4 linked regions of the Saccharomyces cerevisiae S288C genome follow. Changing the gene in region 4 together with the main gene of any one other region gives a genetic interaction. Each region holds a gene or a part of one and is shown on either strand. Other genes may lie near its edges. The genes, in order: ALG14, BCK2, PTM1 and NEO1.

Region 1 (6,640 bases), on a different chromosome or scaffold from region 4:
AATACAGCTTGGTTCTATGTATTAATTTCAGACTATTTTATGGTCTGCTTTTTTTTACGGTCAGAGAAAAGATGAAATAGATGCCACAAAACAGGGATATATACGAAAACAGCATCTTATATACTTTTTTACTCCAACATTAATTTCCAAAACAGGTGAGATGAGGTAACCCATTCGAAAAATTTAAATGTTCAGACACTGTCAAGTTAAAGAATATAACCTGGAGGTTTTCTTTTCTTTTTGTCCATCAAAATGCACTTTTTTTGAAAAAAAATGCCTTGTCAAGATAATGTGAAGTTTACTGGAAGGGCCCTTTCCTCATCGGGTTGCCGGCCCTGACTGACCTTTTTTGTATTTTTGGCCGTCCCGGCGCGGCGAAGAGTGAGACGACACCAAATAGCCGTACGGCAATAATCCTCGTGCAAAAATCTCTAAGACCGGTGTCGCATTATCCTTTACACACCAAATTTGGTGCCGTAATGCATTATGCATACACTGTGCAATTATGCAGACATGAAATGTGATTGTTTGCTTTGTATACGTAGTAATTGTAAGTAAGTGATTTACTGATTTACTTTCTGGTTAGCAGTGGTAGTTTTAATGCGTTGGCCGGATTGTTTATATTTTGTGAAGCAATCCTGGAAATTTTAAGCATCAAAGAAGGTGCGGTGCCACCATAAGACTTCAAAAATAGTTGGAAGTTTTACTATCCTACATAAATGGTTTACTTAAACAAGGATGCCGAACCACTTGGATCTTGGTAAATAATTGTCCCTCAATTCTTGCCACTGGACAATGAATTCATCCACTACCCAATATAATATTTTTCCGGTCAGACTAGGAGTATTAATCCTTGCCAGCGATTCTACATAAACTATATGGGAGGAACCCAACAGGGGCAAAAGAAGTTCCATAATTTTCAACCAAAAGGATATTATACAGCATGTTCCAGGCCCATTCAATAAAAACAGATGAGGGGAACCACACATAGCAAATCTGATTCTAACCACGTGCACAAAAGATTGTACCAACGTTCCAATGATGGTCTTTACACTTTGTAGGAGAGTCGCTTTAACTTCCCTAGCTTTCATGAATTCATAGTATTTTACTTTGCAATGACCAAATTTTTTTATAAAGTGGGCGAATCTTTGCCTGGAAGCCTCATCAGAATAACCCAAGTACACAATCGACTTACCCAGTAAAAGATCCTGGTAATTTTCTAGAAGACGGATCATTTCACCAGTATGACCTCCCGATCCTAAGAATACAAAAATCTTGAGCGGTTTCTTTGACGATTTTCGTATTTTCAGTAGGTTAACTCCATCTTTCGTATCCTTTTCTGTACCTGCTTGAGTGTGGAAAAAAGGCAGAATCGCTATCAACCTAATAACATATGCTGTCGATACGATGAGCACCAATGACGCCAAGTAGGCCGTTTTCATGATCTTCAAGTCACTTCTTTCGACTTTCCTGATACAATAATAAACCGCCGATTACAGTTATTGCGGGCCCTTGTACATGAAATATTAGGATGGCTTCGCTAAGAACATTTTTGCTTCTGGACAGACAGAACACGTAAAAAAAGAAACACGAAATTACGACTAACTTTCGCGTAGGGGTAAAATTACCTAATGCGCGTAATTAAAAAAAAAAGCACAGCAGTGTAAATTGGAGCAATAGGAGAAAATGACCTGTAAAGGAAGTATTCGAATTCACTAGTGCGGATATTAATAGAATTCATAATTTCGCGCTTGGCTGCTCATTATATTCTTGACTATTTGCCAAACTGTTATAAAGAAGCCTCAATATTCGTTTGGTTTATTGTTAAAGAAGGCGCAAGCTCGGCACGAGAAATATACGACGATAAAGAACATACCAACTATATATTGTGACGGCACAAAAAGACAAAATACGTAAAATGCTAAGACGCTCTAAAAATTCCAGCACTAACACAAACGCAGACACCAAGAAAAGACAATCCATGCATTTAGGATCCAAAAGTTCGCTAATCTCGCTGACTAGCGAATTTGGCCATGGACACTCCAAGACGAAGCAGAAAAAGGAGGAGGGCACAGCTCCTTCTCAATTCCTGTCTCCTACGAATAAGAGAAGCACATCTAGTCAGTCAAAGTTAAAAAGGAGCAGCTTGTTACTGGACGAAACACTGCTTAAAGACTACCACTCGGCCATGAGGCACATGCAAACAAACGCTGCAAAGGAAGAAAAGCTGCGGATGGCTCCATCACCAACGCAGTCAACGAGGAGCGAATCAGACGCCAGTCTTTCCTCCACCAAGAGCTCGATCTCTTCCATATTTTCCCAAGATAATGACTATTCCATTCACGATTTGTTGTACGAAGATATTGAAGAGATGGATAAAACAGACGCTTTCAAAATTAACAACACAATAGCAATCGATGATTCTAAAGCTCTCTTTGTCTTCTGTTCAAACGACTCCTCCTCAAGGACAGCGTCTATCGAAACATTGCACGAATCAAATTTGGACAACCTGGATATGGGTTCCAGTAGAAGGACATCGTTGGACTTTTTTTAATATAACCTACCATAGGACACACTTTGTTGTTGATGTTGGACAATTCGTTAATTAAGAGTCCCTAAACGGCTCTACTAGTTCCAACCTCACTTTGTTTTTTCATTTTTTTATGTTTTTTCTAGAACCTTCTTTACGTGATTCTCGCTCGGAATCCGTCAATAGAATGTTTTCAGTCTCCGTTTCAATATTCTGCGCACATCAATCATTTTCTTACTACATACACTAACATTACTCCTAGTTTAATTTAATTGAATTTTTAACTTTCTTTTCTTTTCATTTGGCAATTTGGCTCCTTGAAAACAAGACTATGGGTCTCTCTCATAAGCCTCAGGGGGGGACCCCAAAAAAATAACGCGGCCATCTTGCATGCACCGTTGAACCTGTAGCTTACAGTAAGCCACAATTCTCTTACCTTCTTGGCAATGTGGCACAAAATAATCTGGTTATGTGTCTTCATTTGGTAATCACTGGGATGTTACTGGGGCAGCAGCAACTCCGTGTGTACCCCTAACTCCGTGTGTACCCCTAAAGAACCTTGCCTGTCAAGGTGCATTGTTGGATCGGAATAGTAACCGTCTTTACATGAACATCCACAACCAACGAAAGTGCTTTTTCAAGCATTGCTTGATTTCTAGAAAGATCGATGGTTATTCCCTCCCCCTTATGCGTCCAAAAATATAGGGTGCTCGTAACAGTAAGGTATTCGCACTTAGCGTGCTCGCAACACAAAATTAAGTAATATGCGAGTTTTAGATGTCCTTGCGGATCTATGCACGTTCTTGAGTGGTATTTCATAACAACGGTTCTTTTTCACCCTTATTCCTAAACATATAAATAGGACCTCCATTAGTTAGAGATCTGTTTTTAATCCATTCACCTTTCATTCTACTCTCTTATACTAATAAAACCACCGATAAAGATATATCAGATCTCTATTAAAACAGGTATCCAAAAAAGCAAACAAACAAACTAAACAAATTAACATGTCATTTAACAGTCCATTTTTTGATTTCTTTGACAACATCAACAACGAAGTTGATGCCTTTAACAGATTGCTGGGTGAAGGCGGCTTAAGAGGCTACGCACCAAGACGTCAGTTAGCAAACACACCCGCAAAGGATTCTACTGGCAAGGAAGTTGCTAGACCAAATAACTATGCTGGCGCTCTTTATGATCCCAGAGATGAAACCTTAGATGATTGGTTCGACAATGACTTGTCCCTGTTCCCATCTGGTTTCGGTTTCCCTAGAAGTGTCGCAGTTCCAGTTGATATTTTGGACCATGACAACAACTACGAGTTGAAAGTCGTGGTTCCTGGTGTCAAAAGCAAGAAGGACATTGATATTGAGTACCATCAAAACAAGAACCAAATTTTGGTTTCTGGTGAAATTCCATCTACCTTGAATGAAGAGAGTAAAGACAAGGTCAAGGTCAAGGAGAGCAGCTCTGGTAAGTTCAAGAGAGTCATCACTTTGCCAGACTACCCAGGTGTGGATGCAGACAACATTAAAGCAGACTACGCAAATGGTGTTTTGACATTAACAGTTCCAAAATTGAAGCCTCAGAAGGATGGTAAGAACCACGTCAAGAAGATTGAGGTTTCTTCTCAAGAATCGTGGGGTAACTAAAGTGACCTGGCTCTATAGTGTTGTCCCTCTCGCGAGGACCATTGTTGCTTGCATATGGGCTTGAAACATATGGTCATCACATCTGAGCGATTTTACCTCTTAGAATTAGTTTAGATATATATGAGTTGATGAATAAATAGTTATAAAAACTTGCTTTGGCTTCGATATATGACCGTTATTTTTGACTAAGTTTTAACGAAGGAATCTAACCTCGTTCTTGTAATTACCAAAATCTTCAACAACGCGCTGTTGGAGGTATCTCTATGGATGTGGCTTGAAATATGGATGTCTTGCCTACTTCTACTTCTGGGAAAGGCATTTTTACTCGATCGCGTTAATATATGCATCAAGAAAATAAAAAATAAAACGCGAAGAGCTAAAAAAAAAAAAGAAAACCTACTATAAATAACCGATTAGAATCGAGTTTTTGTATTGAAATGGCGGTAATAAGCGTTAAACCTCGACGAAGAGAGAAGATCCTACAGGAGGTAAAAAACAGCTCGGTATATCAAACGGTATTTGATTCCGGTACTACTCAAATGCAGATACCGAAATATGAGAACAAGCCATTCAAGCCTCCAAGAAGGGTTGGATCAAATAAGTACACACAACTCAAACCAACCGCCACTGCAGTCACAACAGCCCCTATATCTAAAGCCAAAGTTACTGTCAACTTGAAAAGAAGCATTTCGGCGGGACCTACTTTAAATCTTGCCAAGAAGCCGAATAATCTGTCCTCAAATGAAAACACTAGATATTTTACTATCATGTACAGGAAGCCTACTACCAAAAAGCACAAGACTTGGAGTGGTGATGGCTACGCTACCTTAAAAGCCAGTAGCGATAAGTTATGCTTTTATAACGAAGCAGGGAAATTTCTTGGGTCAAGTATGCTACCAAGTGATTCAGATTCTCTCTTCGAAACTCTTTTCAAAGCAGGCTCCAATGAAGTACAATTGGATTACGAATTGAAGGAAAATGCAGAAATACGTAGCGCCAAAGAAGCCTTATCACAAAACATGGGAAATCCCAGCCCACCGACCACAAGCACAACAGAAACAGTGCCTTCTACGAAGAATGACGGTGGCAAATACCAAATGCCTCTGTCTCAGCTGTTTTCACTAAACACTGTGAAAAGATTCAAATCAGTAACAAAGCAAACAAATGAACACATGACCACAGTACCTAAAACCAGTCAAAATTCCAAAGCCAAAAAATATTATCCAGTATTTGATGTCAACAAAATCGATAATCCTATAGTAATGAACAAAAATGCAGCCGCTGAAGTTGACGTAATTGTTGATCCATTACTGGGCAAATTCTTGCGCCCTCATCAGAGGGAAGGGGTGAAGTTCATGTATGATTGCTTAATGGGCTTGGCAAGACCAACTATTGAAAATCCGGATATCGATTGTACTACTAAAAGTTTAGTGTTAGAAAATGACTCAGATATTAGTGGATGCCTTTTGGCTGATGATATGGGTTTAGGTAAAACACTAATGAGTATAACTTTGATTTGGACATTAATTAGGCAAACTCCTTTTGCATCAAAAGTTTCATGTTCGCAATCAGGCATACCATTAACTGGACTTTGTAAGAAGATTTTAGTCGTTTGTCCCGTTACTTTAATAGGAAATTGGAAAAGAGAATTTGGAAAATGGTTAAATTTGTCAAGAATAGGTGTTTTGACATTAAGCTCAAGGAATTCTCCTGATATGGATAAAATGGCTGTCAGAAATTTTTTAAAAGTGCAACGAACTTATCAAGTCTTGATTATTGGCTACGAAAAACTCTTGAGTGTTTCTGAAGAATTAGAGAAAAATAAACATTTGATTGACATGCTGGTGTGTGACGAAGGCCATCGACTAAAAAACGGGGCTTCTAAAATTTTAAATACGCTGAAGAGTTTAGACATAAGAAGGAAGCTTTTGCTTACGGGAACTCCTATACAAAATGATCTTAATGAGTTTTTCACTATTATAGATTTCATAAACCCAGGAATCCTTGGAAGCTTCGCTTCTTTCAAAAGAAGATTCATTATCCCTATAACTAGAGCCAGAGACACTGCAAACAGATACAACGAAGAATTGTTGGAAAAGGGGGAAGAAAGGTCAAAAGAGATGATAGAAATTACGAAAAGATTTATTTTGAGACGAACAAATGCGATTTTAGAAAAGTACCTTCCTCCAAAGACGGATATAATTTTATTCTGTAAACCATACAGCCAACAGATATTGGCATTCAAAGATATTTTGCAGGGCGCACGTTTAGATTTTGGACAATTGACGTTCAGTTCTTCGCTAGGACTAATAACATTACTGAAAAAGGTTTGTAACTCTCCTGGATTGGTTGGCTCAGATCCCTATTACAAATCACATATAAAGGATACCCAATCTCAGGACAGCTATAGTCGTTCTTTGAACTCTGGTAAGTTAAAGGTATTAATGACATTACTAGA
Region 2 (8,310 bases), on a different chromosome or scaffold from region 4:
TTGCTAAGTTTGCAGATCGTTCCCAGCTAAAAAAATCCGAAATCGGTATATTTCTACGGAACTTTAATGGCGAATGGGAAACAGCACATTTTGCATCTCTATCAGATGCATTTTTAAAGATTCCCAAGCTTGAAACTAAAAAAATTGAATTACTTTTCCAAAATTACAATGAATTTTATTCTTACATATTTGACAATAATTTGAATAATTGTCATGAACTAAAACCAATAGTGGACGGAAAACAAATGGCAAAACTACTTCAAATGAAGCCAGGTCCATGGCTGGGTAAAATTAATAACGAAGCGATTAGGTGGCAGTTTGATAATCCTACAGGGACTGATCAAGAATTAATAACTCATTTAAAAGCCATACTACCAAAATACCTGTAGTAGCTTATTAGTATACATAAGACATGTAGAACAAGAATGCATAAATAACTTTCTGTTACCTTATTGAAAAGAAAAAAATAAAAAAAATGAAAACGAAAATGAAATAATATCTCTAGTAGTTATTCTATGGTGTATGATAACTAAACATATTTATTAGTTTTTATATACTCTATTCAAAATTTTTTACCAGTTTTTAACTTTTTCGAAAGATATCTGTTACTATTTTTGAACTTTTTTTTTTTTTTTTCATTCCTTTTTTAGTTGCTATTATCAAAATAAAAAGACTGTAAATTATTATCAATGTCGTTATTTGCAATTGGTGCTGCATTTTGATTATTTGAGTTTTCCACAGATGAGTTCGCCTGATACTGTGGAACGAAAGTATGACCATCGTAAAAATTTCTTTCACTGTTGTTTGAAACGTTTGAGCCCATCAGGTCGCCTAATGAAACAGTTGCTGAAGTATCCGGAGATATATTTCCAATGTATGTATCCGCAGACTTGGGTTCATTCATGTTGATGGCGCTGTTGCTGTTGTTATTGCTGTGGCCCATCTCACCTAGTAGCTTCGATTGCTCATGGAAAAACGACTCTGGGTTTTCAAAATCGAACTCGGTATACACTTGCAAATTAGTCTTTGTTGTATCAACATTGTTTGGTGTTGAGCCACTGTAAGAAACGCGATTTCCGGTATTATTATTGGATTCTGATCGAGAAGCGTGTTTCCATTGAGATCTAATAAAATGATCGAGGTTTGCATCACTCAATCCCAATCCCGTATTTACCAATGTATACTTATCTTGATCTTGAAAGTAGTTTCCGGTCGCGTTGCTTGTTGTAGTGGATATTGAGTTCGTCATAACAGAATCTACGATGCTGCTACTAGTTGTACTACCGTGTGGCATCAAAGAGTTAAAATCTAAACTGTCATCCTTTCTGTGAGTATCCATCCCCATAATATCCCTTCTTTGGAAGTGTGCCGTATTCGGAATATCTTGTACTAGGACATCCTCTTCTTCATTTTCTTCTAACGTGGATCTAGGTATACCTTTTAGTGCCGGTATATTCTCCATTGGAGTATTGAAAGCAGAGAATTCCCCACTAGCGTCGTTTTCGTTACTGTATTCTTTGTCAAATGAGGAAAAATTGCTAGATGGGCGATAACTTGTAACAGTACTGGTACTTGGAACAAAGTTCATATTGTGTGTTTCAAGCACATTTGGAGTTGAAGAAGCAGATGCAGAACTTGGTAATGTGTAACCTGTCATGTAGTAAGGAGGAGTCACCAGAGAAGATGAAGGTGTTGTAATGTACGAATTAGAATGTTGAATTCTTTGAGCATCAGAGATAGATTCTTGTTTCTTCCTATGCCCTCCTTTGACACTGCCACTTTTATGCTGTGGTTGGCCATCCAAGAATATTTCGTTAACTGGGGTTGTACTATCCATTTCTGGTAGATCAGTGACGCTTGGTAAAGAATTAAGGTCTCTGGATAATCTATAAAGGGAAGACCCACGAGTTGCGGATCTTGCTCTTCCTGGCGATGCAACTCTTATTGGTGAATAACGATTTGACATGGATGATAATGAGCCAACTGAAGTGGTTCGCTGAGTTGGCAATTTATTAACTTTTATATTTGATTGCTGAATAGTTTGTGCAATAGTGGGTGAGGCTAGCGAACACGTGGACCCGCCAGTGTTGGCTCGTTTTCTAGTAAACATCTTACTAAATGCAATAGAAGCGTCATTTTCTTCCGGTAATTTAACTTTACTTTGTGAGTCTCCGCAGTTGAAAGATCTTGAAGTTCTTGGTGAATCAGGTGAATGCTTTGCAAAGTGGGGTGTACTTAAATCGGAGTTCAGACTTAAAGAGGATTTATTGTTACTGTAGTTTTGATCTTTGAAGTTGAATGATTCGGTAGAATGATATAGCCCACTTTCCTGTGACTTTTGTCGGTCTGAACTCTGAGGCGCCACTTTATTGTACTTCAATCTTGTATTTTTTGTGTTCATGAGAGGTATACTTGATAAGTTGGGAGTAGAATTTGTTTCGCTTTCAGTGAACCTTGATGGCGGTTTTGCTAGTGAAGGATCATGAGTTGATTTCGGAACGACTTCTTTCTCGGAACAAAAATCGTTATTGTCAATAGGCAGATCAGTAGTGTTACCCATCATGTTTAATGATGGAAAGGACAAGTTTCCAGAGAACGGAGTTTTACCGTTTAGCCTATTGTGTTTTAAGAACGAGTTATAAGATCTTTTGGTTGTTAGTGACGAGGCGTCGATTCCGCTTTCTGAGATAGGGGTTCCCGAAAGGGGTTTAGATTCTGAATCCATTTGAAGCACCATTGGTTGCTCTTCAACGATGTCCTCTATGTGTTCGTTCTTTGACGATCCAAATATCTTCAGCATTCTCCTTTTGGAGGATTTCTTCTTTAATTTCGCCTTTGGTGCTGGCACAGAAACCGGCTGGGTTTGCAAGTCAGTATCATTTTCGTTAGCCGTGTCCTGTACAGTATAATTGACGAAGACCATTTCACCTGATTTCTTTCTACTACTCTTCTTCGCCTTAGTATGGTTGTCTCTGGGATCCTCTAGCAAAACTTTTTTCGGGCTAGACATAACATTCATAGTAGGTAATACTGGAGTGCTACATGAGCCTGTTGAGGAGTTCCTGTCCGGCGAAGCTTGTGTGCTGCCGCTAGCGGATCTGCGATAATAGTGCGGAATTTTCCATTTATTCGTAGATTCCGTAGAACGACTCTTTGTGGAATTAACCGAACTGGAACGATGGTGGTGACTATTCTTCGGCATGTGCTATTGGTTTTGAGCGATAAATCAAGACTGCCTTGCTTCTTGTCTTAGATCTCCTTCTGAGCTTTCTTAAAAGACTTCCCTAAATGGCTGATCTGATTGTTTCCTTTATTAACAACAAATCCACTGAAAAAAAAGTCAATAATTTGATGGATATTAGCGAATGTTAACCGGAAATAGGAGTGAAAGACGTGTATTACAAAACTATGACTATGCCTGATTAATATCCTGAATAACTAGGCATGAACCTTTTTTCACGCAAATAATAACAATAGGCCTAGGATTTCTATGATATAATAAACTTTCTGTTAGTATAAAAAACTATTTTTGATAAATATAGTCTCTCACCTAGTCAAAAACATACGTATCACGGCTTGATTAATTCTTAACTCTACTTTACAACATTTCAAAAATTCCTTTGATCATGACCTTAATCAATTTTTTTGCCAGTTAGTGGAGAGTTCCCAGCGCTGGAAAGTGCTGGCGTCAGTTTTCCATCGGAAGAAAAAATTAGCCCACCATTGTGCGTCCTTGAATAATAGCGATCCGGGTTAACCGGGAGTGTTAATTATAGAACAAAGAAACCCACACGTCCGCTACTAAAACTTGCTAAAAGAAAGAGTTAACGCTGTAGTATGCATGAATTCCAAGGCTTCTAAGGCTTCTAAGGCTTCTAAGGCTTATCCAGTAATATTATGTAATATTATATATACAGTGAAAAGCGGAGTTCCATCAGCTATGGTTCGGATATCATTATTAATTGTTCTGTTGTGTTCCGATTAAGGAGGCTGCGTTAGTTACGCCTGGTAGATCTAGAGATGTTCTCGCTCTTTCCACAGAGTAGCGGTTATCTAGTTGGTTAGTGGCGATCATCTGTTCTCTTGTGCGGTCCAAGGATGACCTGACGTTGGTTGATGGGCCTCTTCCGAACGTTTGGGCCTGCTGAAATTGGGGCGATTGAAGAAGATCTTGTGTTTCCTTGGGTGAAGTCATCCAGGTTTCTTGCTTCTGATATCCGCTAGGACTTCCATCTTCACCGTGCATGAAAGTCATTGGAATCTCCTCTGTGACAACACTATCCCTTGAATAGTTCGATCCTCCTAAGTTGTCGGAAAGTGCTATGCCTTCTATAATCTTCTCTCCGTGTTGCCCAGCTTTTGTGACCTTGGGTCTGTTGGGATCTGTTGGATCGTAACCAGGAGGATAATGATCGAAATGGCCATGTTGCCACATCTCTCTTACTATTTCCACATCAGTTGGGTAGAAAAATTTTTGAAAACTGTCATATGTGAAACGGGGCAGTAAGCAGAACAGCACGGCAACAAAGAAAACAGCCCAAAATGAAGGTGCTCCATAGATACGCGCTGCAGCTTTGAAAAATTCTCTACTAGCTATCGCAGAAGACCATATTCCCGTCCATGCAAAAACTACGAGGCAAGACAGTGCAATGAATAATCCACTAAACCAATCCCATCTATATTGGTGTAATAAAACATATGTGTTACACGAAATTACAGCAATAGTGGTCACATAAACACCGACAAAATAACGATGATCCAATCCTAACCCATTGCTCGTAACTATCATATTTTTGTGATAAACCAAGTAAGGGAAAAAAAAACAGATAATAGACTGATATAATCCGTCCAACATATACCATAAGAACTTTCTTTGGTTCCATTCTTTCCTTAAAATTCCAACACGGTATAACTGAGGGACCACTAATGATATTGTGTCATTCACGTCCTGGTCCAGAATACCTAAGAAGATGACTGGTAGGGATGTAAATGCCAAATTATAGAACATCATGTATGTGTATTCATACAGGTAAGACCCATCAAAATCATTATAGATACCATACCAGAACAATGCCAAAGCAAAAATCATGTTTTTGTAAAAAAACTCAGGAATCATTTCTGCCAGTCTCTTATAAGACCACCTACCGTGAACGAGGACCAATCTAGCCAAATATCTGAATTGTCCAATGGCGTAGTCTGAGCACATAACAGCTTGTCGACCTTCTTCACCGGCAATACCAATACCAACATCCGCAGATTGAATCATGGCGACGTCGTTGGAACCATCGCCGATGGCTAGTGTCATGACATCTAGAGAATCCTTGACTAACTTAACAACGGCTGCTTTTTGAGATGGAGATACTCTACAGCATAAGACAGCTCTACAATTCTTGCAGAGTAAAAGAAACTTTCTTCTTATATCTTCACCATATAGCGCCAATTTCAAAGCATCACCATCGATAACGATGGCGTAATTACCCTTCGGAAATTCGTGATCCTTTTTAGCTTCAAAAATCTCTTCTTCTGAACCGGTTAAGTTGAAATACTCCTTCAAGTATTTGGAGAGTAAAGCATCCACAATTTCACTTGGTTCTGATCCGAATTCTTTCACGTCATCACCAGTTGTTTTAATAACTAACAATTCCATTTCATTATTCAAAAGGTTGCAAGAAAATCCAATGTTTATAGCTGTTTCAACTTTATCACCCGTAAGAACCCATAATTTAATTCCTGCCTCTGCAAGCAACTCTATACAATCCGGAACACCATCTTGTAAACGATCTTCGATAGCTGTACCGCCCAATAATATCAATTCGCGTTCAATGGAATCTGCAACAACTTCTAATTCATCCTCTCTGTTTGCTAATGATGCAGCAGCAATATCGTACTTTTCGTTCCATTTTTCGTATTCAGACCAACTTAACTCCCTTTGAGCTATGCATAACGTTCTTAAACCTTCAGTAGCGTACTGCTCTAAATGCAAAGCAGTTTTTTCCAAAATAGCTTCACTATTGCTACCACTCTGGCGACTTAATCTTGAGTATATAATGGAATCTGCACCTTTACAAATTAAAAGTGCTCTAGGCTCGTCCCCTGGGTTCAGACCCGGAATTTTGACAATACAGGACATTCTTTTTCTCGATGAATTAAACTCCAAAATATTTAGAATCTCAAATTCTTTTTGAATACCTTGCATTTCAATTATCAACCCTTTTTTGGTTTTTCCAACAAAACTGAATCCTACATCTCTAGCTGTGGCTACTAACGCTGCTTCGTCTGGAGATTGAGCTTTTAAATCCAGTTTTTTTGGATTGTCCGGGTTTGCTTCTACAAGGACGGAGTGACATAAAGCTAATGCTAACATAAAGTGCTCACAGCATCTTTGTTGTACTTCACCACTAGCCCCTTTCAAATCGCGAACGAACTCCTTTGATACAAAGGTAACTTCTTCGGGATAAAATTGTGAATTTCCTGATAAAGCTCTCAGTTCATCGATCATTGTATCCCTATCCTTGGCAATTTCGGCCTTCTCACGCCTACCTTCGGTTTCGACGTCGATACCTTGTCTTTTTCTTAATCCCGCTAACGCTTCGGTGTAAGCTCTTCCATATGAAACACCATTGATAGTACATTTTTTAAACTCCATTACATTTTGAGTTAATGTACCTGTTTTATCAGAAAATATATATTCCACTTGACCTAAATCGTCAGAAATATTCCAGGATTTTGGTGTACAAGGATAATCCAATTTGGCATTGTAGAGTAAAACGTCTCCGTAAATGAAGGCCGCTTGTGCAGTTTTGATGATCTCCACAGAAATGTACAAAGAGATTGGGACTAAAGATTGGTAAAGAATAACAGCAACCCAAAATGAGACGAAACCGTTTGTCGCCGCTGACCCAGCAATTGTTCCAAATTCATAGGAAAACCGTGATCTGCCTTTTTTGTCGTAATATACACCATTTGCAATACCAGAAACAAAACATAAGATGAAAAGTAGCACGAAATTTATCACCACAGAGAAGTTTAGTTCTCTTGAAATCCTGGACTTCTTGGTGGGTGTAATGCCAGAGTTTAACATGATTTTTGTGTCACCACCGGTAAACATTACAACACCCATTGCCCACTTAGTATTTCTAAGAGTGCAACCACGAAGCAGAACGTTATTAATAGTAATTGGCTCATTTCGTATCTCGCCATCTGCAAGATTTCTCCATTTCATATTACCTTGATAAGTGTACAAATTTGAGTGGGGCCCTTCACTTTCGATCCAGAATTTTGTTCTAGCAATATCTTTTGACGTTCTTATAGTATTGGTACACTTCAAGGATTGGCGTACCTTTAAGTTTGTTTCACCATCCAAATTTTTAGTTTCTACGTAGCAGGCACCATCTGTATCCGACGTTGAAAGTAAGATAATGTCAGCAGGGATTTCATCATTGTTATGGATACGAACAATATCACCAACCTTGACACCTTTCCAATAATTCTTGGCAAATTTACAATCAGTTCTGGGTGGTAGGGATCTATCAACTATATTGGCTTCACCGGCCCCTTGTTCCAAATTATCATAATCCAATGAAGGACGGCCATAATCTGCAGATACTCTGTAACTGTCAATGGAGTCTAGAGAGGATCTGGGTCCACTCGTTCCAACAGTTTTTTGTACTCTTAGTTCATGACGCTTTCTCTGCATTCTCTTCTTTTTGCCCTCTTCAGTTAAATGTTCTTTACAATATTGTATAAACTTGAAAAGGAGTCTAGAGTTTGCTTTCTTAAACCTTCTCCACAATGAAATATTATCGGTTGAGACATTTTCGTTCTCAACACCTTCTAAAATATGTGTCTTGGTATTATTCACCTCTAAATCTAGGACGGTTCTTCTTGAGTCTTCAATAGCATCCTTGATCGCAGTGATTATAACAATGACAACTAACGGAACCGCACTTAAACCAGGGTTCGTGACACCAAAAATTTGAAATGCACCTAAAATTATTAAAACTAAGAAATAAACGTTGGCGAAATTATGAAACTGAAATAGAATGTTTTTTGGTAAGAATGTTAACGGGGTATATTTGGTAGTTCTGATTTTATTACGAGGATACTGCATAATGGGGTTGCCTTCTTCATCTATCATATCTTTTGGTAAGGGCATATTGTAATACACAGTCCTTAGTTCTTGCGCACGATTTATGGCACCAGGGTCAATATCATCCTTCGTAAAGTCTTCAAATGGGTTTGGAATGTTCTTCCTAGCCCATTTCAAGGTCTTAGATCTTCCCATTATTGGGTTTCCTTTTTTATTCCTTT
Region 3 (7,338 bases), on a different chromosome or scaffold from region 4:
GCAAAATAACTGTGCTACGGATAGAGGTTGAGTTTCCACATATTCCGATAAGAGTGAAGACGAGTTCGTAATATCGAACCCAGGCTTCCTATTGCCGTTCATTGATATTCTATTCCTGGTAAGCTCACTCATCAATTCACCCAATTTCAAGCTTTGCAAGACGCTTTTCAGTCTCAATTGGCTTTGTTCCAGGCACCATTTTGAGCCCAAATCATTAGAAAAAAATCTTTCTGTAGAACCTTGGATGGAAATGTTTAATAGCTTGGGACCACCGAATGCACAGCTTTGTAAAGAATCAAACACTGAAAGCAAAACGTATAATCTTTTAAACAACACTGAATAGTGACTAATGTTTTCGTCCATGGAATTTGGTGAATTGGATGGATTCATATGCCCAGCACTTTCAGATCCAATTTCAAATTCGGACGTTTTTGTATTCCCATTACCAGTGCTGACCTCTTCATCAACTGGAGGCTTCACATCATTTATATCCGGCTCCGGAAATAATAGAAGTTTGTATAATTTAAATTCGTTAAAAATTGTCACCGACATTCCAAGTACAAATGAGTTATCGTATCCAACAAATGCCAAAATGTAATTTAAAAGAATAAAAGTAGATAAATAAATGACTTTGATCTTCGGCGAAATTTGGTCGTTGTTTTCTCTGAATTTGGGATGAATATCCACGATTTTTTGGAAACATTCATTGAGGGCGGCAATAAAAACGCTTTGCACTTCCAAAGTATCCTGTACTTCATTATGTGAATCACGTCTTGTTTTTTCAGCATCATCCCTTGCCGTGGCTGTAGTGAACCCAGCTTTGTTGTTGTCATTACTTGGCGACAAAGCCACGCCAACAATATTATCGAAAAACTTGCCACCTGGCTTTTGTTTCAGAGCAACACGAACTAACAATTCCAATGAATTTCTAAACCACAAAATAACATATGAATTGACTTCGTGTATATTGGAAATTGGCTGTGTGTTAACTAACAATAAGTCACTGGTCAAGGTCGTTTTGTTTAAAGGTATGATCGGAAATCCTACATGTATGAACTCATAGTAGGTGTCTATTAGATCTACATCGGATATCTGTCCATACGCGATAGTTGATGAAGTGGTCATTGGGTGAGCAGAATCTTTCGATGTTATAGATATAGATGAATCTCTCTTTGGTTTTGTCTTCTTAGATACGTAACTTTTTCTGCGTTTTTTTGTACTTCTCTGTGGCGTTGATCCAGGGCTGGATGCTTCCAAAGCCGCTGGTGTAGTTACAGATTCTTGGGAATGTTGAGATGTATCCTTAGAAGAACCGCTATTATTGCTGCCATTATTGTTGTTAATTTCACCATTATTATTCTCATTACCATTCAGCCTGTCCGTGGATAATGTTACTGATACGGGGGCTGATTGTCGCCTTTTATTTCCATCCAACTCAGATGAAAATTGCGGTACCTGCTGTCCTTGAGGTCTTTGTGTTTGCTGTGCAACATTTACGGGGTTTGTAGATGTGCTAGTAAACATGGCAGGTGCACTGGGAGACATAGCCTCGCTGGCGACTGATCCTTGTCTAGAATGAAAACCATTAGCAGCGAACTGGCCAAAAGATGATATCGATGGGTTGTACGGTTGCTGCTGGGAAAATTGAGAATACGAGTATAGGTTCTGTCCTTGTTGCAACTTTTGTTGGTGTGCTTGTGGCTGCGATTGTTGCTGAGGTGGGGGAAGCTGAGGCTGGCCACCTAGTAAAAGAGAATTTGAAGTATTTCGTAGCAAAGAAGGTATGGAACTTGATCTTCTTGTCTGTTCCCCATTATGATCATCAGTAGGAGCTAGTAAACCAGAAGTTCTTATAAAGGACCAATAACCACCACTACCAGAGGCACTGCCTGAGCCGGTGACACTTCCGTTTGCATTTCCAGAATCATTAGTATGTTTATTCGTTATGGGAGACTGTTGAACGGTGTTATAAGACAACTGCTCGTTGGGATTTAATGTTCTTACCGATATATCACTTTGCAAAGAATCGATAGATCCTTTTCTTTGGTGTTGAAACTCATGGTAGGGCACTTTCCAAAACTGCTGTTGGCCAATATTACCCGCGGGCATAGTTGATTGTATCGCTGGATTTTGGAAACTAGGAGGAATGCCACCAGCCTGGGGAATGTACTGTGTCAGTGGGGGCAATAAAACTGAATTAGATCTCGAAGGGGTACTTGGAACTGTGTTACTGTTTATACCGTTGTCGCCGCTATTGCCCGTATTATTATTCAGGGTATTGTTACTATTATCAAACGTATTATACGACCTTGAGTTATTGTGGTCTTGTATTTCGTTAGTCCTTGGATGGCTGGTGCTCCTCGTATAGCCTTTCGAGGGTCCCCTTTTCAAAGGAACCCTATCAAAACTACAACGGTCTCCATTCCTTTGGCAGTTTGAGCAGACCCCCTTTTCATCTTTGTAGTCACATTTAATCTTCTTTTTACGACACTGATCGCAGGCCCGGGAGGCCTTTGTTCTTTTCTTTATTGCGTGACTTGCTGCTGCTGCGGAGTCCATATCGTCGGGACTATTGGATGTACCACCGTTCTTGGTGGAGTCACTGGAGTTAGTCGAAACAGTGTTCAGCTCGTTCATAATTTGAAATATATTGGAGTTTGAGAGAAGAGTACAGCTTCTTGACAAATGTGAGAATCGAAGAAGCGTGTTATTATTGCACCAATGAAAATTGCGGGAACGGTTCTGCACAATATAGTACAAGGGAGAGGCGATTTCCAACGAAGTCTATGGTGAAAGAGCAGAATATGTTGGATGGACAATACTCCAGTCTCAAAACTCCAAGCACGGTTCCTAACTGATGTGTTCTTATTTTGACTTTTTTTATTTTTTGAATTTTTACTAGTTGCTACTATTTTTTTTTCCTGTTTTTCCTTAAAAGGTCCCTTCCCATAATCGTCTTGCTTAGTTAGCTACATGAAAAAAAAGGAAAAAACTAAAGGAAAATGCACAAAGCAGCGACATATTTTATGAATCCAATACCTGCCATTTCAAGAAGCTCGGATTATTGGTGAGGTGACGTAGCTTTTGTTTGATGTACTGTTGATTATTCGTCTCTGGTGCTCATAAGCCACGTCACAGAAAACGATAAACGATGTTAGCGCACATGCTACATGACTTGCCAATCGTGGTAAAGCTTCTGATGAAAGAACCAACTTGCGGAAGCGTGCCCATAAAATGGTCGTGCGGCTTAACGAGCAATCACACCGAATAAAGTGATCCCGTAAAATGATATTCTACTCGGATGATCCGTTCCCTAGGAAGCGTAAGACAAGTAACTACAAATGTTGTCGCATGTATATTCTATTACTCAGAGCGTTTGACAAAAAAATCTTCTCCCTTTCATTAAAAACGAATCGAAGAGCTGGGTTTATAGCATTGTCACTAAGGACGTGGTCTCATCATAAACAAATAGAATATACATGTTATGTTACATAGGAAAGACCGAAAAAGCCAGAGAAAGCTAATAAGGTTAGCACTGATGCAGCGCGCAACCTTACGTTATCTGGCTTCGTTGTTCATCCTTGAACAAAGGGAATTCCTCACTTCTGGTCTTCCTGCGTCTCTTCTCATAAACAAGTACACATGAAAAGTCTATGGACCAATTTTCTCTTCCATTTTATAGTCGATGAACAGAAACTTTTCGCTTGTTTCGGTTTGATATAAATCATCTTATCACCGAAAAAAAAAAAACTCCAGCGAGCGGCTAAATAAATACAAAACGAAAAAGTTAGGTCTAGAGTATAGCATAGCTTTGGTGACTACAGTTATAAACAGGTAAAAGCACGCACAAATAAATGAAAAGAAACGTGCAACGCATTTATTTATTTATTTATTTATATTCATATTTATATTCATATTCATATTCACATCGCATTGAACAGAAGTGCATATGGTTCATAATTTCTTTCTTTTCGCTTGTAAACATTTCGTGACTGCCCTCGAAGAAACTATTTGTCTCATCACCTAATCAAATCTGCTGGAGGTAGCGTTATTTTGTTGGAGAGGGAGACACTGGCCCGTGGCCTTGGCTATGGTTATTTACATTATCGTGTCCTTCTTCATCATCAGTAAAATTCAAATTGAGGTCATCCTCGTCTATGCCACGCTCACCAGTGATGATACTTGCGTCATCTTGATCGTCAAACGATTGCAAATCGCCCAAGTCAAAGTCCGCGACATTTTCTGGGTCTGTGGGTAGTTGTTGGGATGCGGCTAGCATGTATGAAGTATCTGTTGGTCTCCATAAGAACGCGATGGTAACGAAAACAATGAAATACACTAACGTAGGCCAGAAATCAGTAACGAAGAACCTTGACCTCCAGTTCTTCTCAATCATATCAATAGTGTTCATGCCAACGTAAATAAATGACGAAACTATACTACCAGCTAGTACACTCAAAAAGGACGCATAAATGATGTATAGTAGCTTCTTGTACATGTTCAATTTTACGATCTGCCTTTGCTCTTTCAAATAGATAACTGTTTTTGTCATGGATCTAATAATCATGTAGTAAAATATGATTAATGCAAGCGCCATAGGAATCAAGGTGATCAAGATTAGTGGAGATGGTGCCTCCATGTCGGTCAAATAACTTTGGATCAAAAATCCAATGCAAATTGCATAAGTTAACGCACCATACATTTGGCAACGCCTCATCAACGTTTTATTCAACTTAGGGTACACGATACCGTAGCCCAAAGCGATAATCAATAATAGGAAAAATGAAAATGTAACTTTACCAGCCGTCAATATCGACAAGAACACCATATAAACTTTTATTCCCGCAGTATCACCTTTTTCATTTTTCAAATCATAGTAAGCCCATACAAATATGGTTTCTGCGGTTAAAAATACAAAAAAGGCCAGCAAATACTTTTGTAATGGTAACAATTCATGCTTGTGCTTCCAGAAGGCGAAGGAATATAACGCCATCGCCACAACGTATGCGACCGCCAAAAGACCATATAGTGGCAATTTGTTGATCTCGGTGCCCGCAAGCTGACCATAAGCATTCCTGAAATTCACCACAGCGTTGAACTTGGTAGACGTCGATGATCTGAACGCAGTAACACAATAAAATCCGGTTTCTTTTATTGGGTATCTAGTATCATGAAGGCCGACCTCATTTTGAGAAAACGTCATGATTGGATTGGCCAAAGATCTATTTGTGGAAGTATATGGATCATATACAACATCTTGAACAATAAACTCATCACGATTCTCCTCTTCACAAATCCCGATATCAATTGCATAATCATCACAAATATAATACATTTCTTCATCCGGCAATTGCACACCTAAGTGCTCAAAGTCTTGGAAATCATAGATTGCAACGACTAAGCCTGGATCAGACTCATCACTCAATCCACTTATTTTTTTAAGATTGAATGATATAAACGGGTCTATTTTGCCCTTCCAATCTTCTTTGGAATACATACCTGCGCATACTTGATAATTCTTTTGACTTATCTTTTCCTTGTTAGCTTTTACGAACACTAGAAGGTAGCATAAGAAGCAGGTGAATAATTGGAAAGGTCGGCAAAACTGATATACTCTCATTGTGCCCTTACACTCTTAGTTTCTGTAAATTTACTGCCTTTTTACCAGCTGTTTCTTGAAATTACCGAGAAAATATTCTATTTCAATTTTTAACCTGCAAAACCTGAACAGAATAGTTGATCCTCTTGACTATTAGTTTGAGGCTAAGTTTTTTTTTCCACTCTCCCTATTCCTACTCCTATATATATCTTGCTCTATCTTTTTCTTCAAGTTCGTTTTTTCACACACTATTTAAAAGACCAAGCTTATGTGTGACGTGCACGGGTGCAATATCTAAATCGGGCAAAACAACTAAGCAGTAATTAAAGTACCACACTCTAGCCGAAAAGAGGTATACATGAAGGTTGAAGATTCGGAAGCAATTCCCAAATTATGTTCAACATTACGGATATTACAATGTTCAATGCGCATAATACACCATAGAAGAAAATTGGCACTACGTATATACTGTCCATTGTTCTTTTAAACACAAAATTGAAACGTCTGCGGTCTCTTGAGGATAAAACAATGTACATTGAGTATAGTAACATGCTAAGCGTTAGCTTGTATCATCAAGACCGTCAAAGCAGGCATTTCATCAAATCTATAGGACCACTTAGCGGAGTCCTGGTGATTGTAGAAATAGCCTTCTAACGTATCAAGTGATAAATAATTTAAGTTTTCCGAATTTCAGTGATCTACTTACAATATTGCTTATTAATCATTATAAAAAGAAGCGTATTTAGCGGACTAATTAGAATACATAAGGCATTCTCAGCGTAATCTAAGCAAAAAAGCAAGAAATTGACTAACAATGTTCAAATCAGTGGCTAAATTGGGGAAGTCTCCGATTTTTTACTTAAATTCTCAGAGATTAATTCATATTAAGACTTTAACAACTCCAAATGAAAATGCTTTAAAATTTCTCTCCACAGATGGCGAGATGCTACAGACGCGTGGCTCCAAGAGTATAGTTATTAAGAACACTGATGAAAACCTCATCAACCATTCCAAGTTAGCACAGCAAATTTTTTTGCAGTGTCCAGGAGTGGAGTCTTTAATGATAGGTGATGATTTTCTCACTATTAATAAAGACAGAATGGTCCATTGGAATAGTATCAAGCCTGAAATTATAGATTTGTTAACCAAGCAACTTGCTTACGGTGAAGATGTTATATCCAAAGAATTCCATGCTGTCCAAGAAGAAGAAGGAGAAGGTGGCTACAAAATAAATATGCCCAAATTTGAACTTACCGAAGAAGATGAAGAGGTCAGCGAATTGATTGAAGAGCTGATAGATACAAGAATAAGACCAGCCATCTTGGAGGACGGCGGTGATATCGATTACCGTGGGTGGGATCCAAAGACTGGAACCGTTTATTTAAGATTACAAGGTGCATGTACCTCATGCTCTTCTAGTGAAGTGACTTTGAAGTACGGTATTGAGTCCATGTTGAAGCACTATGTGGATGAAGTGAAAGAAGTGATTCAGATCATGGATCCTGAGCAAGAAATAGCATTAAAGGAATTTGATAAGCTTGAAAAAAAGTTGGAATCGAGTAAAAATACAAGCCATGAAAAGTAAATATTCCGTCCTTCAAATGAAAATACAAGATGAGACGAAAATAAAAGGAAGTGTGTATATACTGTCTTTACCCTCACTATTACTTGATAGTCCGTACATGTTTCAACGGTCATCATGGAAAAAGGGTAAAGCACTCAACTTTTTCCATACACTA
Region 4 (9,486 bases):
TGGCACAGAAGATGCAACAAATAACCAGTTCGCAACCAACACCCACTTCGGAGCTCTCTTCCGCCCAAAGAGACAAAGAGCCCATCACTTGGTTGGAAACGCAGATCACCGAGTGGTTCACCACTGCGTTGACCAATTCGCCTAAGGACAGGAAGCACAATACCCATAAGTTGAAGAAATTGACCATTCAGTACTCTATCTCCGAACAAATGGTTCATAGAAACAACAGATCGATTGTGCAGATGCTGGTTGTCGGGCTGGGCATAGGTGTGTCAATGACTTTGATCACTTACACTTTGTATTTGGGCATTAGCTCTGAAGAAACGTCATTTACGCACAAGATTCTGTTCCCACTGTGGGGTGGTTGGTACATGGTTTTGTTGATCGCGTTTCTCTTTCTTGTTAATTGTTTTATCTGGCATAGAACCGGGATTAATTATAGATTTATTATGCTGGGTGAGATTCAATCCAAGAATGGTACGCAATTTTTCAACAATGATTTTGCCACGAGTAAAATTCCGCTCAAGTTGTATTTCTTGACATTCTTCATAGTACCTTGTGCGGTCTGTTCCATGTTAAGTTTCGCTTTGGAGAAGCTCACACCCTTAGGCTTTTTATATATTGGTATTGTGTCTTTCTTATTTTTATGTCCCTCTGGTCTAATTCCATATTGGGACAAAGTTGTACACACTAGAAAATGGCTGGTGGTTACTCTTATTAGACTGATGATGTCTGGTTTTTTCCCTGTTGAGTTTGGTGATTTCTTTTTGGGAGATATTATTTGTTCGTTGACGTATTCTATTGCCGATATTGCCATGTTCTTCTGTGTTTACTCTCATACGCCCAACAATCTATGTGGCTCTTCACATTCCAGAGCAATGGGTGTTTTATCATGTTTACCAAGTTATTGGAGATTCATGCAATGTTTACGAAGATTTGCTGATTCCGGTGATTGGTTCCCTCATCTTTTGAACGCGGCGAAATACACTTTGGGTATAGCGTATAATGCCACACTTTGTGCTTACAGATTGTCAGACCGTTCTGAACAAAGGAGAACCCCTTTTATCGTGTGCGCTACGTTGAATTCGATCCTTACTTCCGCCTGGGATTTAGTTATGGATTGGTCCTTTGCTCACAATACTACTTCTTACAATTGGTTGCTAAGAGACGACTTGTATTTAGCTGGTAAAAAAAATTGGGAAAACGGCAGTTATTCATTCAGTAGGAAGTTAGTTTATTACTTTGCTATGATTTGGGATATCCTCATTAGATTTGAGTGGATTGTATACGCAATTGCTCCTCAAACAATTCAGCAGAGTGCTGTGACGTCGTTTATATTGGCCCTTTTGGAGGTTTTAAGAAGATTCGTTTGGATCATCTTCAGAGTCGAAAATGAACATGTTGCCAATGTTCACCTATTCAGGGTTACCGGTGACGCTCCTCTGCCTTATCCAATTGCGCAGGTCGGTGATGATTCTATGGATAGTAGTGATTTGGGTTCAAAAGCCTTTTCATCACTTAACGACATACCTATCACGCCTTCACATGACAATAATCCTCACAGTTTTGCCGAACCTATGCCCGCTTACCGTGGGACTTTCAGAAGAAGGTCCTCCGTGTTTGAGAACATTTCGAGATCCATTCCTTGGGCACATGCAACTGATTTCCAAAGACCAACTGTCAATACCGTGGATGATAGGTCTCCCGAAACAGATAGTGAAAGTGAAGTGGAAAGTATTATGTGATTTGGGCTGGACATGATATTTGCTATTGTTAACCTGCTAAAGATGCTTATTTGAGGAAGTACAAAGAAAAGAAAATAAAAAGTAAAAGAAAAAAAATGTAACAAAATAATATTATGCATAATCTATATCTTCTTTGTAAAAATAAGAATTTATATTTTGAAATATGATAGATTTTTTTAAGATAATCCGTTGAAGCAACAAGAAAAATCCAAACCAATTGAATTATGGAGTGGCAAACTCTTGCACTTTTGCATAACTTGGAGGATGTAGCCTTCTATAAATTGCCTTTGCCGTCCAGACAGGAAAGATCGAGATGAGTAATATAACTAAAAGTCCAGCATAGTAATTTACGGTAGTCATATAACCTAAATCAAAATAATCGCCAAGAAATGGAACCGATACAATGTAAAATAGTAAAGTAGCAATTTCAGTGACGAGCATTGTTTTATTCCATGTGTAGATTTCTAAGGCAACCATTATTAATTCATTTACAACCAAAGCAGTGAAGCTGATAGCAACCATCCTTGTGAAATCAGTATCTAATAAACTCGTAAAGGCCTGAGAAAATAATTGAATTACAGAACCTTGGAATAGCGATAATAGAACCCAAACAAAGAACGTCTTATATGATAAGCTCTTACCTTCAGTCAATTCTTTGTACAATTCTGGGTATATTTTAGTCAATGACTCTTCGATATCGTGATCAAGAGTTAATGAAAAGACTGGAGCCATTGTATAGCAGGTAGCATAACCGACCATTAACCAACCTTGATAAAGAGCAATAGGTTCGAACAACGAACAGATGGAATATACCGCTTGGCAAATTGCAATGATTAAACCTCTATGCATGACAAATTGAGCCAATTTAGCAGATCTTTTGTAAGAGTTCCTACCATGCCATAATAGTAATTCGGTGAGGTGACAAAATTGCGTTATAGAAAAATCAGCAGCTAAAGAAGCTTGTTTACCTTCTTTACCCACAATCCCTACGCCAACATCTGCACATTGAATCATACTAACATCGTTACCTCCATCACCAATACAGCATACCCTTTTGCCCGTCATTTTACGAATTACCAAAGCAACGTCTGCCTTCTGTTGAGGTGTACAACGGCAAGCAATAACAGTGGGTAAATGAACCACGACATCAAAAAATTCCTGTTCGTAATGTTTCAAAAACATTCCCAGGGATTCACCATCTATTAAAAGACAAGCATTTCTATTGATTTTTAGATACTCCAGCTGATTGAATGCACCTTCCGGTCTTGTGACTTTTGTTATCGTATGAACATATTGGCCACGAGATATTAATTTTGCACTTATGGAAACACAACGAGCAGTTTCAACTTTATCACCTGTCAGCATCCAAATCTTGATACCTGCGTTTCTTAATAACTCGATAGAGGACTTCACATCCTTCTGTAACTTATCTTCTACACCAGTTAGACCCAATAATTCAAGATCATGCTCTAAATACTTGGTGATAACTTGACTCATCTGTTGATCACGATTTAGCATTGACAAAGAGGCATCGTTGTATTCTTTTTGAAATTGCTCGTAAATTTTCTTGTTTAATTTTTTACGACCGATAACCAAAGTACGTAGACCTTCACGAGCCATATTACCTGTTTCTTCCTCTAGCCAATCATTGCTTTCCACAATTTTTGACATGACAGTATCGGCCCCTTTTTGCATAAACCAATATTCATCCAATTGCTCATCACGAACAATGATACCCATACGCTTAGAATCAGAATTAAATGGGAATACTTGTAAAATTTCGTAATTTAAAGTCTTACCAGAATGTTCGTGTAATAAAGAAATTGAATGGCGATCTCTTTTGAAAAGAGATAAGCCAACCGACTCGGTAAATTTAACAATAGCAATTTCATCAGGTGATGCCGCTTGATATGTAAGTTCGTCATCCTCAAAAGTGGGAGTAACGTTATGGCAAATTGCTAGAGTTAAAATCATATCACGTACACGAAAAGACATATCCTTTCTTGTTGTTGATAAGGCAACTTTAGAATTGTTCAAAGAGTCATTTTTAGAGCTCACCAGAGATTGTACATAGTCGGATACAATGTCTAATGTTTCCGACGTGTATGATACAGTACCCAAGTGTATTTTCTTCAATTGCATATCATTCTGAGTAAGCGTCCCTGTTTTGTCGCTTAGAAGGTATTCAATACGGCCTAAATCCTCTGGAATTGTACTCGTTCTAACAATTGTTTCAGGAATGGTTTTATCGTGTTCGATCTGATGTGCATAAACACTTTTGGCTAAATCTAAATTAACTCTTAAAGAGACAGGGATGATGGTAGAAAACAATATCAGATACCTCAAAATGTCAATGTACCAGTCGTCATTGTGGAAACCGGCAAATGCAACTAAAAGAATTGACAGGGCAAAAACACATGCACAAAGAATCTTGGAAATACTGTTAATTTCTAGCTCTAATAAGCCAGTTTTAACCTTAGCTGTAGTTGTATTCATAGCTTGCCTAGTATCTCTGCCAGTGTAGACGACACAAGCAATACAAAATCCACTGGAAGCTAGAACAGTATTCGCCCATAGAGTATTATCTACAGACAAAGGGTTTGAAGTGGAATCCTTATAGGTAACTTTACCTAAAAATTTATGAATAGATTTCTCAGGAGCAGAGGCTGTTATACTAATTCTGTTAATTAAGTCATTTTCAGATAGATTTTGGGTCAAGGGACAGGCAACACGTAGTTTCCAGTCAGTCTCCCCATCTAGTTGGTCAGTTTTGATAAATGACTCGCCTGATGGTTCACTTGATTGTAAAAGAACCAAATCAGCGGGAATACGATCACCTTTATGGACTTTTATGAGATCTCCAACTTTTAAGTCTTTGCTTGGTATGGAACGATTTCTCGTTATTACATGATACAGTTCATTGTTTGACTCTCTATCACGTCTCCTTCTCTGAATATCATCTATAGCTTCCTTTGCCATGGTTACTGTCAGCACAAATGCTAAAGGTACAATATACGATGATAAATACCCTATTCTTAGTGCAGGAACGGCCTGCGATAATGCAACTACTAAAAAGTATAAATTGTAAAAGAATTTGAACTGTTCATATAATAGGGTTGGCACAAAAGTAACGGCATTATATTTGGCATTAGATAGTTCATTCGAAACGTATCTATTCCTATCGTACACAGGAGTCGTGTCTGGATGTATTTCTCTTTCGATGTGTTGATCACTGAGTTCTATGGGTGAACCAAACTTGGACCAGTTTTTTGTGTTAGATACTTTTAAATATGAGAGGGCTTTTGAAAAAATATTGTTTGAAGACGACGGTGGTGACGAAGCAATATTAGTAAATTTGAAATTATCATCCTGCGAGAGGCGATTATCATACATCAAAGGATGGGTATCTGTGTTTGAAGACTTACGATGCGAATCCGAAGAATGGTTAGAAAAATTGTCTAAATCATCTACTGTTCTCATTTCAAAACTTTCCCTATCTCCAACAGTGTTATGCTTACTAAGTGGTTCTGGGTTATTATTAATTTGTAAACTGTCTAAAGCAGCGTCAAATGAATCGTCGAGATGTAAGTCAAAAGAATCTACACTGTTTGCGTGTTGATTATTGTTGGAGTTGAATAAATTCTGCTTATGTGACTTAAATGAAGGAGGGTTAGGCATTTGTCTCTGAAGTTTTCCGTGCACACTGATACCCCTTTCTTTTTCAGATTAACGTTATGCCACACAAGTGCTCTGATTGTTACTTTTTCTCAATTGCTTAACGGTATATTGCTGTTAATAAGCTGATTGTTGAGTACTGTATAAGCTTCAAAAATCCAGATGAAATCTTTTATTGCGTAGATCAGGCTTCTAATAGCAGCAAATTCAGGTGAAACAATGCCTAAAATATTAAATAAAAAATAGGTATTGAGTAATTTTGGTCCTCGTTTTAAGTAACGAATGTGTCCGAAATTCCCAAGATGTCTAACCTTTTGTTTGGCAGTGATAGGTCTTAGCCACTGTGCCAGTATTTACTCTTTCCAACTGCCTCAAAAAGGTATGGCCTTACCTTCGTTTTTAATGACACGTATACGAGCCTTTGCTGTCTAATTAGTGGTAAAGTGATAATAGTGAAAGTAAAGTGGTTCTTTACCGCGTCTATATATATATGTATATGAATGCCCTAGTGTGCACATTACTAGATTATAAAAGGTATTATGGCGTAGGGGGCTACGTGATTGTCTTTAAATTTGTGCCTGTAATAATTTTTTGTTTCCAATGCGGATATAGTCAAACTTGTGATTACCCAAACTAGTGTTAGGTAAAATTCTTGTTCATAGGGCAACAGAGTAGAATAAATGATTATTTCATCGAGATAATGAGGACAGCATACCAACCTGAAAAGCCTTCCTGTTGGCAGCGAATATTTAACCAGATTGGCCAGAATAACATGATTTTTGTACTGATCCCAAGATGCTATGCAGAATATGATGAAAGCATTCATGTTTAACGTATTTGGAATGGAGTTCTTGTACAGTGATATATTAAGAATTAACAAGAGTACGGAATAGAACCATATACCGACTAGATAATGGGACCAATTCATCCTAGAATTGCTTGTATAATGTAGTACATAAAGCGTTTCATAAAGTCGGCGCAATGAGTGTCCAAATATGATCCAAACGATGGGGAATTTAGGATAGAAATATAAGGTGACTAAGGATAGAAAGGTAGCCAAATAGTAAAAATGGGAAAAATACGCCTTTGGAACTGTGAACTTCTTGATTCGTTCTAAAATGCTTGAGTACTTTGAATTCTCTTTGGGCCGGTAGGTTTTACCATATTGAAGAAATTCTGGTAGACAACTTTTTGCTATGAAAAGTGAGCAAATGCCTACAAAAAAGGATAATCTATAGGCATATATAGTATATTTTAGCAATTGTTCTTCATCAAAGTACATTGGACTGGTAGATTCTACGTTTTAAGCCAGATCGGTCCGCCGATAAACCTATTTATATTCCACATTTGGTATATTTTTACTTTTTCGAAACGTCCTTAATTCTCATTTTGGAAAAAAAAGAGAAAGCATAATACTGAATAGAACAAGGACCGAATTTCTCTTTACCGGTAGATTATGATTTATTTGGGCAAAAAGTTTTTTTTTTCATTCTATTGCAATAGCTATCATTTCAGGAGAAATGCTACTAATATGAAAAACCACTGATTTAAAAGGAATATTAAATTATTTAAATATAACCGATATGTACGCGTTACGTAAATCAGAAATTGATATGTATAATACGAGTAACGGTAAGGGAAGGGCATGAATAATATGCAGGACAGCATTCTACTGGTCGTTCCAGAATTTATATAACAAGTTTGCATATTTCTGCATTTCTTCGACTGAAACCAATAACTTGAAATCACATAGTATCAGGAATTGTAATTCTAAATGGTTTAACTCTTGCAAAGAAATACCTCCAACCTTGGCGTATCGAGAGTTACTGTAAAAAAAATCACTCAAGAACTTCGTGCAAATTGTGACACCTGTTATGAGCAATCTATGAATGTTCCCGGAGTCCATGACGAATAATTGCTTTGCGCAACCATTACGCTCAGAAGAATGCCCATAATTTTTGGAGATTCTATCGAAATATACAAGGAGAGAAAGAAAAATATCATTTGTGGTGGGACAGTACTTTTGAATTCTCTCTAAGTACTGAACAACAGCTATCTCTGGAACATTCTTTCCATAGAAAGCAAGGATTGGAGTTAAGAGTTCGTCTTCGGTCTCATCCGACACTTGTTGTGAGACATCTGTAGTTTCATCGTTTGCTGTTATAATTCTGTTGAGTAGCGCACTTATCATTAGTATGAGTTCATCTGTGGGAAAGTCTGCTATGTTTAAGATCTTTACATCAGTCTGTTCATTTGTCTCCTCGTCCAGGCTATGCGTTTTTGCTTCCGACTCTAAAGACTTCTTTACAGCTTGTACAGGAGAACAATCTAGTAAAGATTTCGAAGAGAAAGGGCTTTCCAAACTGGGGTTAGTAGATATTTTGGACAGCAAACTACTATTGTTACTTGAAAATGGATCGGTCTTGAAGCTGTGAGAATGTGGTCCGATTATTAGGTTATCTCTATTCCCCCCTGGTATATTTATTGGCGATGTTGTGGTTTTTTTTGATGGTGAACTTAGCTCCATATTTTTCTCTAGTGTAAGCAGTCGTTCGTTCTAGCTCGGTTTGCTTTAGTCTGATTACAGTAATTAATGTCTGTTAACTTTTGTTGTACTATTTTAAGAACCGTAGATGAATATATAGATATACTTTTTGTATATATAAAGGTTTGAGATGTTGAAGCCTGCGCTGCTATCCCCTGCTTTGTTTACACCGTTTTGGACCCATCGCAAGATACCGAGATTCCGAAACCGGCCTCAAAACTCCCAGAGATTAGGCGCGATAGATAGTAATACCTTAAGCCATAGTATGCCTATGGATGCAAAATGCAATGATCACTGTCCATGTTATACAATTAAAAGAGCCCGTAGAAAAGTGCACAGGCGGTGATCTTAGAAGACCAGTGCTGCTTATTGGATAAGTCTCTATCATTGAAGGACGTTATTCACTTTGCTCCTGTGTACGCTCTCATTTGCGGAGATGCGATTCCGCCTCTGTCGCTCATCCAGCGAAAAACACACCGTATGGATCCCCTGATATATATAAATACATATGACTAAATGGGTCTTACACATGCATAAGAATTAGGTTAGCTAGTAAATTGTGTGAGATTTACAGGTAAAAAGGACAACACATACACACAAATATATTACCAATAATGTTTTTAAGAAATTCCGTTTTGAGAACAGCTCCAGTCTTGAGGAGGGGTATAACAACATTGACCCCGGTCAGCACCAAGTTGGCCCCACCCGCTGCCGCCTCTTACTCCCAAGCTATGAAGGCCAACAATTTTGTGTACGTGTCTGGTCAAATCCCTTATACTCCAGATAACAAGCCTGTTCAAGGTTCTATCTCTGAGAAGGCCGAACAAGTTTTTCAAAACGTTAAGAATATCTTAGCAGAAAGTAATTCTTCTTTAGACAATATAGTCAAAGTCAACGTATTCTTGGCTGACATGAAAAACTTTGCCGAATTCAACTCTGTATACGCCAAACACTTCCACACCCATAAGCCTGCAAGATCCTGTGTTGGTGTTGCTTCCTTACCTTTGAATGTTGATTTAGAAATGGAAGTTATCGCTGTTGAAAAGAATTGAAGGATTGAAACTTCTTTACTGCCTTTTTTCCACTTGCGATACCGAGGAGTGTACATTTATAAACATTTTAGTAGCATTCTTTAGCGTATATAAGATTTTAACTAAGAAAAGAAACGAATTTACGGAGTTTCAGAATCAGTTTCTTGCCGTTGTAGAAAATGTGAGGGGAGTTTCCCTCTACTTGTATCAATGTTACAAGACAGGGGTAGAAACCTATTACGTGTTGGAACTTATTTTCTTGAACACTCTAATCATAAATTCTAAAAAACTGTGACTGTGTTTTCGTCACAACTTTGCGGTGTACAGATGTCGTCACATACCGTGTGTTGTTTGGGTGTTTTCCTTTCAGCTTTTTTTTTTTTGAATTTTTGAATTTTTACTTTCATTTGCTTTCGGAGGTCCCGCTTCCGACAATAGTCCGCTTCATTTGTCCCTTCCCATGAAAGTTCATTCCTTTGGGCAGAGAGAC

The links.
Region 1: mutations in NEO1 (region 4) and ALG14 together harm fitness more than expected from each alone (negative genetic interaction), as found in Saccharomyces cerevisiae (2 studies listed by BioGRID).
Region 2: mutations in NEO1 (region 4) and BCK2 together harm fitness more than expected from each alone (negative genetic interaction), as found in Saccharomyces cerevisiae (2 studies listed by BioGRID).
Region 3: mutations in NEO1 (region 4) and PTM1 together harm fitness more than expected from each alone (negative genetic interaction), as found in Saccharomyces cerevisiae (2 studies listed by BioGRID).

The regions. Positions count from the first base shown.
Region 1 is NC_001134.8:378,493-385,132, forward strand, and holds ALG14 (N-acetylglucosaminyldiphosphodolichol N-acetylglucosaminyltransferase anchoring subunit ALG14), read right to left. Parts: upstream 1,443-6,640; coding exon 729-1,442; downstream 1-728. Other genes in the region: YBR071W (uncharacterized protein), read left to right, coding at 1,919-2,554; chaperone protein HSP26, read left to right, coding at 3,538-4,182; YBR072C-A (uncharacterized protein), read right to left, coding at 4,368-4,529; DNA-dependent ATPase RDH54, read left to right, coding at 4,620-6,640. UniProt on the Saccharomyces cerevisiae protein: Involved in protein N-glycosylation. Essential for the second step of the dolichol-linked oligosaccharide pathway. Anchors the catalytic subunit ALG13 to the ER.
Region 2 is NC_001137.3:513,108-521,417, reverse strand, and holds BCK2 (Bck2p), read right to left. Parts: upstream 3,203-8,310; coding exon 647-3,202; downstream 1-646. Other genes in the region: CCA1 (tRNA adenylyltransferase), read left to right, coding at 1-389; aminophospholipid-translocating P4-type ATPase DNF1, read right to left, coding at 3,959-8,310. UniProt on the Saccharomyces cerevisiae protein: Dosage dependent suppressor of PKC1 deletion and MPK1 deletion. Involved in cell lysis.
Region 3 is NC_001143.9:360,904-368,241, reverse strand, and holds PTM1 (Ptm1p), read right to left. Parts: upstream 5,621-7,338; coding exon 4,049-5,620; downstream 1-4,048. Other genes in the region: RGT1 (Rgt1p), read right to left, coding at 1-2,637; NFU1 (Nfu1p), read left to right, coding at 6,414-7,184.
Region 4 is NC_001141.2:257,374-266,859, reverse strand, and holds NEO1 (aminophospholipid-translocating P4-type ATPase NEO1), read right to left. Parts: upstream 5,424-9,486; coding exon 1,968-5,423; downstream 1-1,967. Other genes in the region: SYG1 (Syg1p), read left to right, coding at 1-1,745; DFG10 (putative polyprenol reductase), read right to left, coding at 5,941-6,702; PCL7 (Pcl7p), read right to left, coding at 7,090-7,947; isoleucine biosynthesis protein MMF1, read left to right, coding at 8,580-9,017. UniProt on the Saccharomyces cerevisiae protein: Flippase that catalyzes the hydrolysis of ATP coupled to the transport of lysophosphatidylserine, phosphatidylethanolamine, and phosphatidylserine from the lumenal to the cytosolic leaflet of the Golgi apparatus membrane and ensures the maintenance of asymmetric distribution of phospholipids.